Diceros bicornis minor: one gene and its partner. The protein of the gene in region 1 interacts with the protein of each later gene in a biochemical or structural test. Links are inferred from orthologs where the notes say so. Each region holds a gene or a part of one and is shown on either strand. Other genes may lie near its edges.

What was found.
Region 2: of the proteins of MALT1 (region 1) and RELB, one has a biochemical effect on the other in vitro, tested with the Homo sapiens proteins (2 studies listed by BioGRID). The link is inferred for Diceros bicornis minor from reciprocal best matches to the Homo sapiens genes MALT1 and RELB.

What each region holds. Positions count from the first base shown.
Region 1 is NC_080755.1:49,979,479-49,987,916, forward strand, and holds the start of MALT1 (mucosa-associated lymphoid tissue lymphoma translocation protein 1), read left to right. Parts: upstream 1-5,120; 5' UTR 5,121-5,155; coding exon 5,156-5,430; intron 5,431-8,438. UniProt on the Homo sapiens protein: Protease that enhances BCL10-induced activation: acts via formation of CBM complexes that channel adaptive and innate immune signaling downstream of CARD domain-containing proteins (CARD9, CARD11 and CARD14) to activate NF-kappa-B and MAP kinase p38 pathways which stimulate expression of genes encoding pro-inflammatory cytokines and chemokines.
Region 2 is NC_080773.1:19,348,458-19,357,611, forward strand, and holds the start of RELB (transcription factor RelB), read left to right. Parts: upstream 1-5,222; 5' UTR 5,223-5,372; coding exon 5,373-5,421; intron 5,422-6,408; coding exon 6,409-6,456; intron 6,457-9,154. Other genes in the region: putative lipid scramblase CLPTM1, read left to right, coding at 1-116, 339-637.

The DNA of each region.
Region 1 (8,438 bases):
TTGTTATTGTCACAAAGTTAAAAGACTATTGCGTGAATTAATATAGTTAGTACCCTTTTGAAAACCCCAACAAAGAGTCTCATGGCCATGAGAAATATCACCTCAACTGCAGTTCCTACCTTCAGTTGAAATGTGTCCCTCGTGATTTGTTAGTACTGATCTTTTAAGTATCAGACTTTCTGAATGATTTGCTTTGTAGATAATAAATTAGACCTGATTTAAGACTTTTCCTATCATAATGCCATATCTATCATGTAACCTAGTATTATTCCTATCATTATACTAGTGCTCAGACATGTTTTCTTGAACAGGAAGGAAAGGTGGCCGTATCTACGTGAGTGTGTTGCACACAGGAATGTCTTCCATCTCATAAAGCATTGCTAAACTCTCCGCTGACAGCCTCAATGGGAGTTCCTTTGTACGTGAGGAATATTTTTTCTCTCGCTGCTCCACATGGTACTTTCTCCTCAGTATGTTCACACTTCCTTCTTGCTGCCAACAGAGTACTCACCACTCCCTTTCTTGCCTCAAGCAGAGATTGGATTAAGTCAATCTTGTGCTCTAAGCATGGTACGAAAAAACTGACAGACTGAATTGCGGTGGGTATCTGACTCCTGATTATCTATCTGGGTTATCTATGCCTTCACTGTCTTTGACTAGGCTGTTTTGCTACTCTTGAGAGACGCAAGTTGTAGAAAACTGATAGTAAGGCAAATAATTCTTAATTATAAATAAATTAATTCTGTCAAGTGGAGGTTCAATCTATCTTCCTCCTCCACTACGGAAGAAGCCAGTTTTGCATCTGTTAAGCTAATTCATTTCAGCATCTTGCTGGGCTTACATAATTATCTCATCTTTGGATTCTCCTTTGAAGTGGTTGTAACACCTTTCTGGTTCCCTTGTTCACTAATGTGTTAAGTAAAATCTTTGACACATGTTCATTGTACATTTGTTGAGAGTCATGATTTTAACTTTCTTAAAAAACTATCCCATCCAAAATCCTGAACACCGACATCAAATGCTGGCGTGGATGTAGAGCAACAGGAATTCTCATTCATTGCTGGTAGGAATGCAAAAGGATACAGCCATTTTGGGAGACAGTTTGGCAGTTTCTTAGAAAACTAAACATAGTCTTCCCCTATGAGCCAGCAATCACGCTCCTTGGTATTTACCCAAAGGAGTTGAAAACTGATGTCCACACAAAAATCTGCACACAGATGTTTATGGCAGCTTTACTCATAACTGCCAACACCAGGAAGCAACCAAGTTCTTCAGCAGGTGAATGGATAAATAAACTGTGATACATCAGGCAATGGAGTATTAGCCAGTGCTAAAAACAAATGAGCTATCAAGCCATGAAAAGACCTGGAGGAAACTTAAATGCATATTAATAAGTGAAAGAGGCCAATCTGAAATGGCTACATACTGTATGATTCCAACTATATGACATTCTGGAAAAGGCAAAACTATGGAGACAGTAAAAGACCAGTGGTTGCAAAGGGTTAGGGAGGAGGAGGGACGAATAGGTGGGGCACAGAAGATTTTCAAGGCAGTGAAAGTACTCTGTATGATACTGTAATAGTGGATACATGTCATCATACATTTGTCTAAACCCAAAGAATGTACCCCACCACAAATGAACCCTAATGTAAACTATGGACTTTGGGTGATGATGATGTGTCAGTGCAGGTTCATAGTACCAGTCTGGTGGGGGATGTGGATAATGGGGGAAGTTGTGCATGTGTGGGGGCAGAGGGTACATGGGAAATCTCTCTACCTTTACTTCAATTTTGCTGTGAACCTAAAACTGCTCTAAAAAAAACCTTAATAAAAACAAAACAAATAAAAGCTATCCTTTAACAGTATTTGGCACAGAGCCTGGCACAAGGTAGGCATCCAATAAATATTTGTTAATGATTGAATGAATGAATAAATGAAGAATGAATGAATTTAGACAAGTAAAAGAGTTTTTGCCATGGATGATTCATCATGAAGGAAAGGTGTGGAATACAAGTGCAACACTTAGCCACTATTCCCAAGTTGAAATCGAAACGGGAAAATTCCCCTAATCCTTTGGGAGACGGCAGCAGCAAGGGGCAGGTACGGATGCGGAGAGCCTTGTGAAAGAGCGTGGCCTCAACAAAGAGGCTGAGTCAGAGGTCACGAAGGCTGCAGGGCATGGAATAAGGGTGGAAGACAAGAAATGCCATTTAAGTCACAAGACTCCTGTTTCCTTTCCCTCTGTTGTAGACAGATCCCAGGACCTGCAAGATCCCCGGGCCTTTGAAAACCTGTCCAGATATGAAACAATGTTATTCTGGCATTTCTAGATAGAGTACCATCTATAGTCAAATTGTGTAAAGGAAAAAAACCTTTGAGTCAGTTTCCAGATTTCTGAGAGTTTTGAAGATTACATCAATGAATTTCCATAGAATGAAACCACAAGCTTCCTGAAGATTGTCTGGATTCACAAAGATTTGTGTCACTCTCAACTAATGAGGAAGAACTCCCACGTATATTAGCTATAGACATGTATGAACTTTTAAAGGGCATTTAAAAGCCAGATCTCCACTCTGTTTTTCTCCTATCTTTACATAAACGTAAATATAGAAATAGATATAGAAAAGGAAGCTGAATTAGTTTATTATGTTGTTCCCAACACTAACATGACAGTTTTGAGAGTACTAATATATGCTGCATCTACTTCTCCCAGACACTTTATATATGCATATATATTATCTCTCATTTAATTCTCACAACAAGCATTGGAAGTAGGTACTGTTATCTTCCACTTTTTACAGATGTGGAAATCGAAGCAGAGAGGTGAAGTGACCTGCCTCAGGTCACACCACAACGAAGTGGCAGCATCAAGGTTCAAATTCAGGGCTAACTCTAAAGGTCACATACTTTCCACTATACCATTAGGCCCCATAAGAAAACCACAGGAGTGAAATTATGTGATAAAAATATTAACACTTGATTGAGAGGAGAAGTCCAGTCATAAAGTGTAATGTCAATCCAGGGTAGAGGTTGGAGAGTGGTGGATGAGGTGACGGCACAGGTTATAAAATTGCCAGGAGGCAAACAGGGCCAGGACCAGAGTGAAGTGAGGGAGGCACCTGCCTGGGGATGGAGAGGAGAGGATGGGAGGGGTCAATACAGCGCCCAGCTGAGCTGCACTGGATAAAGAAGCACCTGATCAGGCGCTGGCCCGGTGGCGCAAGCAGTTAGGTGCGCGCTCCACTGCGGCGGCCCGGGGTTCGCCGGTTCAGATCCTGGGCGCGCACCGACGCACTGCTTGTCAAGTCATGCTGTGGCGGCGTCCCATATAAAGTGGAGGAAGATGGGCATGGATGTTAGCTCAGGGCCGCTCTTCCTCACACACACACAAAAAAAGAAGCAGCACCTGATCAAAATGAGATAGATGCTCACAGGGTAAATAACATAGGTACCCATTTTAACCCATATGCACATATGAGAAGCTGCATAAGCAACACCTTGTACGTGGTAGACTTAGAAAAAAGAAATCTGTTGAATTTCAATTTTAAAAGACTAGAAGCCTTGACTGATCCAGACTAAACCAATCAAGACTAGAAGAGTTGACTTCCATAATTGGCACCTGCAGTGAATAAACTCATAAAATATTTGTTCAATGATTTAAGACAAAACAGGAAGGCACCAGAAGTGACTGGGAAAAGCTTACCAAGTCAAACTGAGTATGAACAAGCTTTTGCATTTGTAAGGATAATAGCTACTCTCTGCAAAACAGAGTTAAGAGCTTTACATGCATCAACTCCTTTAATCCTGGTAACAACTCCATATTGTATATTTTCAGTCCCATTTTAACAGATGAGGCAGAGAAATTAGTAACTTATTCAAGGTCATAAAACTAGAATCCAGCAGATCTTTCTGGTCCCAAAGGTCTTGCTCTTAGCCAGTATACTGCATTCTGAACTTTGAACTTACACTGGATGAAAAAGCCTCGAGACTGCTTGTGCTAGAATGTGGCGGAGACTGTATGCAGCAACTACCTCGCCAACACGTAGTGAGAATTTGCGGGTCCGAATTATTGCTACAGCAAATAGCACATAGCAACACACGTAGTCCTGTGTGATGAAAAAGCTAATGGCAACACAAACTGGGCCAGGAAGCCTTGTGTCTGGGGGCTACCTGGCTGGTCACACTTCATAAGCTGCTTGCTGGTTTTTGTCCCAAACCACCCTACGGTTTTCAATGGAACAATGGCCTTCAATGTTGCTAAGATTGGGGGAGAGAGCTCAGGTGCAGTCTGCATTTATTTCATCTATTCTGGACCCTTCCAGGGATGGCATCCTTTATAACGCTGCCTTCTTTGATATACGAAGATTGTGCGTGGCAGTCTAACTAGGAGGAAACTAGGCGATTCCTGCTAAAAACAATCATTTCCAAGATCTGATTAGGTTTAAATACACCACAGTTCAGTTAAAAAAAAAAAAATCTAAGCACAGATTTCGGGCAATTTCCATTAGGTATCTGGATCTCTAGCACCACTTCCCTTACCAATGCCATACACATCTAACCCTAAAGAGGAAGCCCCCGCTGAGGTTGCCCAAGGCGGGTGCTGGTGGCGTCGCCCGTCACAGGCAAGTCACTGAGTCAGCTGAGCGAGCCCCTGGAGCAAGAAGCCAGGGGCCGGCAAAGGAGAGCCGCGTGCTCCTGTCTTTGGCGTGAGGCAATCCTCCTCCCACAGTCTCGGGAAGCCCCGACGCCGCAAGCTTCCTCGCCGTAGTGGAGCCGCCCGGGCGTAGTTCCTCCCTGCTTCCTCCAGCTGCAACCACCCGACCCTTCCTGCTCGGCCAGGACTCCACCTCCCCGGGTTTGAAGCACGCGCCTCGCGAGCCGGGCGGCAGCGGGGCGGGCGAGGGAGACACGCGGCCGCGCGCGCACGCGCGCGCAGGGGAGGCCCCGCCCCCGCCCGGGGCCCCGCCCCCTCGGCGCGGCTGGCGCGGCCGGCCGGCCCGGCTTCCCTTGACAAACCTGTCTCGGCGGAGCGGGGAGCGCAGCTTCCTCCTTCCAGCGCGGTGCAGCGCCGCCCGATTTGTCCTTCCGCCGCTGCCTCCGCGGCGCCGGGGCGAGCGAGGGAGCGAGCGAAAGGTGTACTGGGCCGAGGCCCGCGATGCGGCCGGCGGGAGCAGCGGCAGTCGCGGGGTCGCCGGCGCGGGACATGTCGCTGTGCGGGGAGCCGCTGCAGGCCCCGCCGCCCCCGCCCTCGCAGCCGCCTCCGGTCGTGCCCTCGGGACCGCCGCTCTCCGCAACGGCCGGCGCGACCCTCAACCGCCTTCCGGAGCCGCTGCTGCGGAGGCTCAGCGGGAGCCTGGACCGCGCGCCCGAGGGCCGGGGCTGGAGGAGGCTGGCCGAGGTGGCGGGGAGTCGGGGGCGCCTCCGGCTCAGGTGAGGCGGCACCGGGGGCGTGGGGGCGGGGTCACGTGGGGCGAACTTGGGCGGGGGGCGCGCGAGGAGAGTGGGGTGGGCACCGGGCTGGGACGGTGGACGCCGTCGTGGGTGGGGCCTGAACCCAGGAAGGTCCTGGGAATGCGTGAGATTTGAGAGTGGACCCCGGGCGTTCACGCCGTTTTCCTACCCTCCTCCCGTGGGCTGAAAGAGACGAGTCGAGGTTGACCAAGGAGGCTATTGAGAGAAGGAAAGCTGTCTGGAGACCGTTGTGATAGGGCGGCAATTCCGAAGCACTTAAAATACAAAAGAACAGGATGTGGACACAGACCTGGAAGACCCTTAGGAGGGTTAGGAAGGAGAAGTGCAGGTAAAGAGATGATGAAAGCAAAGGGTTTGGGGTGCAGGAATTCATGAAGGTTTTTATGTAGGGAGAGAAGGATGGTGGGAAAGACAGACTTAACTCACCGTCTTCCTCCGTCAAACCAACTTACCAGGCTCTCTTCTTGACTTCACCATGACATTAAACTATAAATAAAACTCTTTTCCTATTCCCAGGCTTGGAACCGCTGTGCTAGCGGTTCTGGAACGTTTGGTCTCAGGACTCCTTTACACTCTTAAGAATTATTGAGGACCCCAGAGAGTTTTTAATGTGGGTTCTATGTATTACATACATATAATATATACTGATATTTACCATATTAGAAATTAAAGGTAATAAATTTTTAAAATATTAACTAAAAAGAATGTCTCATTACATGTGAACAGAAATTACATGTTTTGTGGAAAAACAGACATTTCCAAAACAAAATTTAGGAAAGTGGCATTGTTTTACATTGTGAAAATCTCTTTAATGTCTTGGCTTAATTGCAGAGAGCTGGCTGCTTCTATGTGCTTCTACATTCAGTCTGTTGCACTGTCATATAACACTGGCTACTCCAATGTACACTCCTGAGACAGTGAATGAAAGAGATAAAAACATCTCTGACCTTGTGGATCAAGTGAAAGGGTTTCAGGAACTGCGCTAGGGGTTCCTAGACCACGCTTAGACCCACTACTCTATACCGTTGTTATGGTCTTGGTCTGCTTTTGAACCCCTTAGCAGTTTTCTTAACTTCTCCTATGAGTTAACTTTGTCTTATACTATAATTATTTGTACACATCTTTATAAACTCCTTGAGAACAGGAACCATCACTTAAGATTTTATATGTTATATATTGAACCTATCTTAGGCATTCTATAAATACTTTGAATTGAGAGGGGAGTCATTCATTCAAAACTTACTGAGTGCCTATTACTGAAGTTCCAGAAAATAAAAAGATAACAAATATTTAACTACTATTCATAGGGGCTTGTCTAGTAATGGACTGTTATTCTGGGACATTCGCAAACATGTTAAATGCTATGTTGAGTGTGAATCATAATAATAATGGGTTTTTATCATTTATTAAGCACTTAGTGTATACCAGTGTACTAAGTGTTTGCATGCATTATCTACTTTAACCCTCACAACAACCTTGAGTTTCAGAGAGTTTAGGGTTAAACCAGAGTCATGATGATTTGGGATTATTTGGCCATACAGAGGAATAATGATATGAGGATGGAATCAAGAAGTGGTAAACTCACAAAGTGAGCAGACAGATGGCGTACTTTTTTTCTCTTCTAGGAAAAACACATTGTGCTTTTGACTGTGGAAAGAAAATCCAAGACACTGTTATTTTAGCATCATAGATTTCTGAATTTCTAAACTTAGAATAATGTAAAATATTGTCTTCTTTGGGAGGGGTCAGATTACCCAATCTGTGATTGGTTAATTTGTGATATTAACTAGTACTCTAGTTAGGGAAGGCTCTGGGCTTTCCTGAAGAGGCCCTGGTAGTGAGGACTCGTATTTGTCAATAAAGGAGAGAGAAGAAAGTCATTAAGGCCCTGCCACTGAAGAAGCATGGCTGCTGGAATCTAAAAGTAGTGGATACCTGACGTCAGGTGTTCAGTTTTCGTCCCCAAGCCTTCAGTCAGGTGTTGTTAAAGGCTACAGAATGATGTCAGCTTTGTTTGGGGGAACTAATGGAAGGGTTTGAGGCCACATCTTTAAAGTGACGTAGTATAGAGAGAAGGGAAGTTGCCTAGCCTGAGGTGATGAGCAACAAAGGGCATGCGATGGTGGAATCTGGGAATATCAGGGTGGGAAGTCTGATAACAGACAGATGGAGTTTCACCAGTCTCCCCAGATGGTGAAGGTTGGTTCAGAGTAGGTTAGTTGTGGTGGAGAGAGTGAGGGCAACCCTGAAGATTGGAGAATTGGGAAATATTAAGCTCATATACCTCTTGAAATCAGAATTAAACTGACATGACAGAGGTTAGCACTGAGAACTTGGGGACTGGAGAGTGACAACGGAAGGGGCAAGGTAAGCTGGTCATGCTTACTCTATTTAAGACAGTTATTTTAAAGTGATTGCATACTCATGGCAGAAGAGCATCTGTGATAGTAGGCGGTCCTAAGGGTATTATTCTCTAGTATCAGACCTAGGAATTGTAATGTGTGAGTCCAAGTGACTAACAGTTCCCACGAGGATATGAAATGCTTTCCTCAGAATTGCTGGATTCGTAGCCTTAAAGTCTTAAGACAGTTGCCTATTCTGTTTCTCTTCACTTTTTTCCCTCTGTACGTCTTTCCGCAAACTAGATGAGAATTTAATAAATAAACCACAAGAGTCCATTCTGAACTGTCCATCAGGGATTAAGAATAATTGTAAATGTTTCCACATGGTTATTGATGAATCAGAATAAATCCTTGCATGTAGTTTAGTTTCCCACAACCATGTACATATGGGAATGCCCTAAATACAAACTCAGCCCTAATTCCATTCCAAACTGCTCTAATATTGAACACCCTTTGCTGTCAGTGTAGATAGGCACAGGTTCTGAGTGTCTTGCACAAGCTGCATAAATTCTCTGGTGGCATAGAACAGCAGAGCCCCGAAGATGACAGAGCTTTCAAAAGGCT
Region 2 (9,154 bases), on another chromosome or scaffold:
GGCCCACCTGCCCTGGCGCATGCTCACCTACAAGGCCCTCAACACCTTCATCGACGACCTGTTCGCCTTTGTCATCAAGATGCCCGTTATGTACCGGATCGGCTGCCTGCGGGACGGTGAGGCCCGGAGGCAGGCGGGTGGGTCAGCGGAGCCCCCCCCCCCACCCAGAGCTGGGCACAGGCAGGATTCAGGGCCCTGGTCTGCGGGAGCTGCCCCGGCCCCACCTTAGGGCTGAGGCTGAGGGGGCTCGGCCCCGGCTTTGCAGGACCACTCCTCCCCACAGCGGTGGGCCAAGCAGGCCCCCTCCACTTACACTGCCCCCCTCACCCCACCCCCAGATGTGGTCTTCTTCATCTACCTCTACCAACGGTGGATCTACCGCGTCGACCCCACGCGGGTGAACGAGTTTGGCATGAGCGGTGAGGCCCCGCCAGCAGCTGCCCCCGTGGCGGAGGCCCCGCCAGCAGCAGGGGCCCTCCCAGCCTCCCCTGCCCCCGCCACAACCACTGCCGCCGCCAGGGAGGAGGCCTCCACGCCCCGGCCCGCCAAGCCCACCCAGCCCACCCAGGGGCCCAGCTCTGCCAGCGAGCCCCAGGAGGCTCCTCCAAAGCCAGCAGAGGACAAGAAAAGGGATTAACCGCTCCTGGTCCTCCTCGTCCGCTCCGGCTCCCAGTGACCACCGCCCCCGCCGCCTTGGCCCCCCCGCCTCCCCTCCTGTCGCCCTTTCCCTGGACAGATGGGGCTGGGACGGTAGGAGGCCCCCTTGGGCCAGGGCCCAGCTTGGTGTGGGGGCCGGGCAGGCCAGGGCACGTTGTTTGTGGAGGCGCCGTCCGTCCGTCTGTTCCTCTGTGTTTCTAGCCATCTCGCCCCGCCAGCCCAGCACCATCGGGAATCATGGCGAAGCCGACGTGGCGCTGCCGAGGGGGAGGGCCAGGCGGGGGAGGGGCCGGGGCCCCTCTGCGGGGCGCCCACGGCATCCATCATCTTGTCCCTCGTCCCCGCGCACCCCATCCTCCCAGATCGCCGCCCTTTAACACAGTCTGGATTTAATAAATTCATATGGGTGTTTAACTTAAACTCAACAACCCCTCACGCCTTCCTTCCTCTGTCACATGGGAGAGCAGGTGTGATGCCTGTCCAGGTCTGGAGGGAGACCCACAGGTGCAGGACACGACCCTCGGGGCCAGGCCCCTTTCTTACCCTCTCCCCTCCCAGCAGCCCTCTGAGGGGCCTCCATGACTGTACCCCACTTGACAGACGGGGAGCCTGCTTGCCGGGACCTTGCCGCGCCCATGCTCTTGCCCCAAGGCCACACCCACCTGTGCCCACTGACTGTCTCCCGGCCATCGCCGCCGGGCAGGGCAGGAGCATGGGCCTGCCTCCTCGCAGGGTTGCGGCGGGGGCTCGGGGGTGAATCCGCGCTCGAGTGGTGCCCAGCTGTAGCACTCTGTAGCCGAGGGGGTGTCATCAGCACCCCCAGGGCTGCCTGTGTCAGAGACCCAGCCAGGGTCTTAGTGCATGGCACGTGTGCCTTCCCAACAACCCGGGTGCTGGGACTGTTCACCCACCTTACAGGTGAGGAGACAGGCCTCTGGGCGTCCCTGCACACCGAGGGGTTGGAGCCCCACGTTCCCAGGTTTACTTTCTGGGGGAGTGGTCTCATCAACACCTCGGGGACAGGAGGCCCGGGGCTGAGGACCATGCCAGGCTCTCAGGAATCTGTGACACGGTACTGCAGGCGCCTGCACCCCTCAGGCAGCCACGGACCTGCTCCACTCCCTCCCCTGCTCTCTGCGGGGCTCTGGGAACCCGGGGCCGTGGACCCTCAGGCCCCCTCCGCTCGCTGGCCTCATCACCCCTGGCTCCTCCTCCCACAGCCACACACCCAAGCCTTTGGCAGGGCCCATCTGCTGTCCCCCATAATTGCTTGGGAGTCTCACCTCTTCACTTCCACTGAGACCACGTGGTCCAGGCTCCTCCTTACCCCCTGGGCCCCCACCCAGCCTCCTCCCTGGTCTCCTGCCCAGTCCTGCCCCTCCCATTCACTCTCCATCCAGCAGCTAGAGAGAACTTTCCAAAGCACAAACCTGACCCTGCTCAGAACCTACCGTGGCTCCCCAGTACCCTTGGGAGAAGAGCCCGGGCTCCTAACTTCTTAACCCCTACAGCCCCCCCTGCTTTAACTTGCTGTGATCTCTTACCTCCAGCTCTAGCCCATGCTCTTCCTTTACCTGGGACACGCCCCCAGGCACTCAGCTCTTCTCCTTACCCTGTGCATCCTCCAGGTTGCAGCGCCAATGTCGACTCCTTCAGGAAGCCCTCCCTGACCACTCCCTCTGGGCGCTCACAGCTGCCTGGGCTCCCCCATCCCAGCCCTGCCCGCTGTGGGTCATCACCATCTGGAGACAGGTCATTCTCCACTGGACTGAGCCCCGTGAGGACAAAGCCAGGGCTGTCTTGGTCACTGCCATGTCCTTGGCACAGAGAAGGCGCTCTGGGAGTGTGCTGAGTGCCCGTTTGTACAACTGACTTGCACAGACACACACACACATCCAGAAGCGTGGACCCTGACGGGGCCGCATTAAGCTCCTGGTGGAGTGACAGACATGCAGTTAGTCAACAGATGCTCCCTGAGCCCCTCCCCGGATGTTGCCCTGAGCTGGGGGTTCTGTGTACACAGCAGGGACCAAGACAGCCCCAGGCCTGCCCTCATGGGGCACAGAGCCGGAGAAATCCTGAGCGCTGAGGGTTTCCAACATGGCCTTTCACTTATTCACCCAACAGACAATTGTGAGGCCTGACATTTGCAAAGGACAGAGGGAATCAGGTGGGCCCCTGGTCCTATAATAGGAGCCACGATTTGACACTCCTTATCATGAGCCAAGTTCTAGTCTAGGTGCTGTGTGTGGTTCACTCCATGCACTAAATGTAGCATTACTCAATGTCCCCGTCACCTTACAAGCTATCACTACCCTCATCTCCACTGCTTCCCCAGCAGACATGCCACTCTAGCCTCCTTGCTGTTCCTTGAACATGCCATGCATGTTCCCACCTCAGGGCCTTTGCACTTGCTGTTCCCTCTGTCTTGAACACTCTTCCCTAGATATCCACATGGATCCTTTCACCATTTCAGCCCTCTGCTCAAATGTCATCTCAGACCCTCCCTGAGCTTCCTAACCCAAAGAGTACTCTCCCAACTTGATCCACATATCCTGCTTTATTCTCTAATCCTGCCATCACCACCGGACATCAATTTGCTTATCTATTTTCCACCTGTTGCCCTCACCTGGATTTTAGTTCCATGATGGCAGGCTGTTGTCTGTTGTGTCCCTTGCCTGCTGTGTCCCCAGCTCTGTGTGTAATAACTCTGTAAGTCGGATGTTCACAAGAGCAGATAGAGAAAACAGAAACCCAGAGAAATTAGGTGATTTGTCCAAGATCTCACAAAGTCACGTGACATGAGGATTTAGAACATGAAGTGCTTAGATCAGTGCAAAGCACATGTAAGAGCCACATACAAGTGTCAACTCTTACTAGTATCTTATTTAATTCTCACAACCGTCCTATCATTAGACCCATTTTACAGATGAGGAAACTGAGGATCAGAGAGATGAAGTCAGTTGCCCAAGGTCACACAGCTGGTAAGTAGGAGACCTAGGATTTGAACCCAGGCTGTCTGATTCTGGACCCTCAAATCATAACTTCTTTTGCCATGTTCTTGTTATATGCAGGCTACAGTCCGCAGGCCAAATCCAGCTTTTTCTAGTTCTGGTGTAATTTTTACATTTTCAAGTGGTTGAAACAAACCTCAAGGAGAAGATTTCATTTCACATGAAAATTACGTGAAATTCAAATTTCAGTATCCATCAAATAATGTTTTATTGGAATACAGCCACACTCATAGCTTCCGTACTGTCTTTGGCTGCTTTTGTGCTGAAGAATCGAGTGTTGCGGCTGTCTGGCCCTGAAACCCTCAAGTGGAACAAATTTGCTGTCGGCCGTTTGCAGAAAAAAAGGGCCGGATATTTTGCTCTGTGGCAGGAGTTCTTCAACTTGAGCGTACAGCCACATCACCTGATGAGCTGGGGGCCACCCTCTGAGAACTGCTGTTGTACGTGATCCTGCCTCCCGTGAGCAGGTACCAGGCCTGGCTTGGCGAGTGCTGTGGCCTAGTGCCCAGTGCAGGCTCTGGGCAGAGCAGGTGCTCTGTAGGTGTATGTGGAGTGAATCAATGCGTCCACGTGGGCCACGGAGGGAAGAGGTGGAACACTCACGTTTTACACAAGCAGACACAGGACGCCAGCCCCCGGCTCTGTGGGCCGAGGGTGCCCTGCATCCCAGCTGGAACCCAACAGTCACCCAGTCATTCTCACGGACAGGGCAGGCTTAGGAATGTGATGTGACCAAAGAGCTGCCCCTCTTTGAGCCTCAGTCCCTCGTCTCTCCTCCTGGTTCTGTCACGTGCGTCTGAGGCCCCCAGGTAAGCCCTCTGCTCAGCCGTCAGGCACACAGCTGGATACGTACACGGGGGGCTTCAGCCATTCCCAGCCCGAGTTACTGAGCTGAAAGTGCGCTGCGCTATTAGGAAACTTGAAGGGGCTATGGGGAGGAATAAAACATCCCTCCATTCATTCAACAAACATTTATTAGGCACCTACTGTGTTCCAGGTGCTGTTTTAGGCACTGGGGAGACAGCAAAGAACAAAACAGACAAATCCTAGAACTGACATTCTAGCTTTAAACGTTTAAATATGTTCACTCCCAATTTACAGTTGAAGAAACTGAGGCGTAGAGAGACCACGGAGGTTTCGTAAAAATCATTATCAATGTCAGCTATAGAGCCCCTGATCCCGAAGTGCCCTTCCAGCCAGAGAAACAGCAGGTTCAATCCCGCCGGCACACCTGAGCGGCGGGCCTCAGTTTCCCGACTTGCTCCCTGGGTGGGGCGTGAGTGGTCCCAAGCAGGCCTCAGTCTTCTCCGCCAGAGCAACGGGCAGCGGCGGCGCCCGGCCCCTCCAGTGCGCCCGGCCTCCTCTTCCCGGCCGGCCCCGCCCCCGCGACCACGTGACGCGTGGGGGTTTTCCCGTTCCCCCAGCGTGACGTCACGGCGGGGTGCGGGCCAATGGGCGCGCAGGCCGGCGGCGCCGGGGAATTCCGCCGCCCCGCCCCCGCCCGCCGCCCGCCCGGCCCGGCCCGGCGCCCCCCGCAGCCCCGGGCGCCGCGCGTCCTGCCCGGCCTGCGGCCCCAGCCCCTGAGCCGCTCGCCCGACCCGCGATCGTCCGCCGGACCGTACCGCCCGGCCGCCCGGGCCGCCCGCGCGTGTGTTTTGGTGTGGGCCGGCCTCCGGGCCGTCCGACCCCACCGGTCGGGCCATGCCGAGTCGCCGCGTCGCCAGACCCCCAGCGGAGCTGGGGGCCTTGGGTAAGCGGGGCCTGGGTTCAGGAGGACTCTGGGGCGGGACTGGAGATGCGGGCGTCTGCGGGTCCCGGAGGAGTCTGATGGTTCCTACAGGACTCCAGGGGTTTTGCCGGGAGAGTGTGAGGGCTCCGGGGACACTGTATTAGAGGGAAGGAAGGAGGCAGAGGATGGGGACGGGGTCCGGCCCAAGGTAAGAGAGAGGCGTCCCACTGTAGAGTGAGAAGGGGGCGGGGCCTGACCCTGAGGCAAAGAGGGGGGCGGGGTCCGACTCCGAGAGGGGAGGGGCGGGGCCTGACGAGGAGGAGGCGGAGCGCGAGCCGCGGCTGTGGGGTGGGGGCGTGGCCAGACTCCGAGAGGGCGAAAAGGGAGGGGCCTGGTTCCAAGGAGGGGCGGGGCCTGACCCTGAGAGCGAGAGGAGGGCGGGGCCTGACTCAGAGAAGGAAGCGGGGTCCGGCTCAGAGTAAGGGGCGGGGCCTGAGGGCGAGAGGGGGCGGGGCCAGACTCCGAGAGGGAGGAGGGGCGGGGCCTGGCTCTGGCGCAGAGACAGGAGAGGGCCTGTTCCGAAAAAAGAAGGGCGGGGCCTGACTCAGAGAAGAAGAGGGGGTAGCTGGTCTCAGAAGAGAAGTGGCAGGGTCTGAGAGGGAGAAGGGGACGGGCTTGACACTGAAAAAGTGAAGGGGTAGGGTCTGACCCTGAGATAAGGAAGGAGGTGGGGGCTTTCCTAACAGGTTGACAAGGGCTCCTCCAGGCCCGATCTTAAGGGGGAGAAGGAGCGAGGCCTGAGTGTGATGAAAGGTGGGGTGAATGATAAACTAGGGGACGCGTCCATGGGTTAGGGAAGGGAGCAAGGCCAGACTCAGTGGGCGATAAGGGGGAGGGGCCTGATTCAAAGGGGCGGAGCCAGGAGGGGAACGGGATGGGGCTTGGGGGATTCTCTGGTCCTCCCGCTGCATCTCCATCAGCTCATGAGACGTGCCTCCCTCCTTGCAGGGCCCGCTGACCTCTCCTCGCTCTCGCTCGCCGTTTCCAGGACCACGGGTGAGCAGCCCTCCACGGTCCCTGCCCACCTGCACGCTTAGGACGGGGGACGGGGGAATCCTGTACAGGCGGCGTTGGGCACGCCTCTGTTTGGGGGTTTCTCTAGGTCCACCTCAGCTTTCCTCTGACGGCCTGTGTCCCTCCCTGCCCGTTGAGATGGGGGCCCCAGGCGGTGATTAGGAGCTGGACAGGTAAAACTAACCACCTGTTCATGCTCTAAGAGGAGTTCTCTTTAAAGAATCACCATATTAGCACTGAAGTTAATAATTACAGGCTGATGCCACCACCCCCTCCCTGTGTGAATGTCTGCAAGTCACTTCCCCTCTCTGGGCCTCAGTTTTCCTCATCTATAAGATGGGCATAATATCAGTGCTTCCTTTTTAGGGGGATTGAGAGGATACAGGTAAACTTTCAAAGCAGTGTCAGGCACACAGTAAAGGCTCAATAAATTTTAACTATTAGTGATATAATAACAATAATAATTATTATTATTAGACAGGCTATAACAGTGGTTCTTAAACCTTCGTGTGCATCAGAGTCCCCTGGAGAGATTGTTAAAACAGATTGTTGGGCCCCACCTCTGGAGCTTCTGATTCAGTAGGTCTAGGATGGGCCCTGAGAGTTTGTATTTCTAGCAAGTTCCCAAGAGATGCTGAGAACCACTAGTCTCTAAGGTCCCTCAGCCTGTGCCATCCCAAATTCAGTGCTGCCCAGGGAAATGCAGAATCATGGCCAAATGACAAGATCCTCTCTCTTATAAATCCGCTGGGATTATGGAAGGCAGGATTGAGTCCCATCACCATGAAAACTCAGAGGCCCCAGTGGGCTGGGTCTGAGCCTCTCTCTGGGGGGAGAATCTTAGGGGGTGGGCCCCAGAAGTGCTGGCTTGGCTGTGGCAGAGGCTCTGCGGGTTCTCTGACAGGTCTGGGCGATGGTGAAAGGTGGGAGATGGCACTGGGGACAGGTACTGCCCGGGCGCTGGTTCTGGGCAGGAACAAGGCTGAGACTTTTCTGGCCTGAGACTTAGATCTTTGGTTTCAATTGAGACTAATTTCTGACGTCATCCATTCAATAAATATTTATTGAGCGCCTGTTGTGTACCTGGCCCTGTGCTGGGCAGTGCTGGGGACTCAGCAGTGACTGAGACAGCCGTGGTTCTGCCTTCCTGGGGTTCCCTACCTGGATGTGGAGGCAGACACATAAACAATAAATGAAATGTGGGATTGATTATAAAATGTGATAAAGGCCATGAAGAAGTCTGAGAGTCAATGATATCTAATAGCAGGGTGGGGATGGGATAGAGCGGGAGGGAAACTTTCCCTCGTTTTGATGGGCCAGTGAGTGACAGCTGGGATTCAAGCCGCCATCCTTGTGACTCCACACCTCACGCTCTGAACCTCCTCATTCCAGCCTCCTCATTTTATAGACAGACAAACTGAGGCCTAGAGAGGGGAAGCGGTTTACCCAAGTCGACAAAATGTCTCCTAACACTGTAGCATTTATGTAGCGCCTGCTATTGTGGCGGTTTCTAAGTGCTTCCCATTATCAGCTCATTTAATTTCCACTATAGCCCAAAGAGGGAGGCGTTATTACTGTGTCCATTTTATAGACGAAGAAACCAAGGCTCAAAGAGCTTAAGTAATGGGCCTAAGGCCACAGAGCTGGCAAGTAGCCGAGCCAGGGTTTGAACTGAGGCAGTCCAAAGCTCCAGCCACTGCTGCCTGGGCCTCAGTTTCCCCCTGCAGCCTGGGAGTTCCTTGAGGGCCTAGACAAGTCTAATTCATCTTCGGGTGCCCGGGGCCTCCACCACAGAGGCCTAAGACGGTTTTTCCAAGTTGCAGTGACTTGAGGTAGGCCCTGCCAGTATCCGCAGGGTGTCCCTTCATCTCTCCCAGCCTCAGTGTCCCCATCCACCAAGCGAGGGTGTCTTCCCCACCCTGCTGACTTCACAGATCGCGTGAGATAAGGGGTGTAGGAGAACTGCCTTCCCAGGACCAAAGGTCTGGCTGCCAGGAGCCACTCCCCGAGAGTGGAGGAGGAGGACAGGTCTGGCAGCAGGACAGGTCGGCGTCAATAAGGCCGCAGCCAGCAGCCAGCACAGGCCACCCTGGCGGGGCATCTGGCCCCGGCCTGCCCTCCCTTGCTGTGTGACCTCAAGGCTTGCGTGCTCCCTCTGGGCTTCCCCTTGTCCTGTCCACCGAGTGACAGGAGGTTGGTTTCGATTTCTCCATGGCCCCTTTCAGGGCTGAACTTTCCTGAGGAGGTAATGAGGGGCTTCCCCAGCACCACTGGCACTCCCCCCTCAGGAACTGGGGGCAAGTCCGGGAGGGCAGGTAGGCACTGCTGGGGACCAGGCCGGGATGCAGACTGGGTGACTCCCTGGAGGTGGAGGATCTGCCTCCATGGATCTTCAGACACCAGCCAATGGCCTCCCGGGGGTCTAGGGTGGGCTTTAGGGAAGGGAACATGCCCGCATTTTGCCTAGAATCTTGGGCGTCCATTTTTTTCCTGGTGATAAGACCCTTGACTTTTCCTGGGATTCTCAACAATGCTTCCTAATCTCTGGCCTAAATGTTTTGGGGAGGCATTTTGGGGTGCCATGACCCTGGGGCCCCAACATTGGGAGCTGAGAGGAGGGCAGCCCAGGAGGGGGAGATGGGGTTGGGGGTTGGCACCCCAGCGAGTCGGAGCCCCGGGT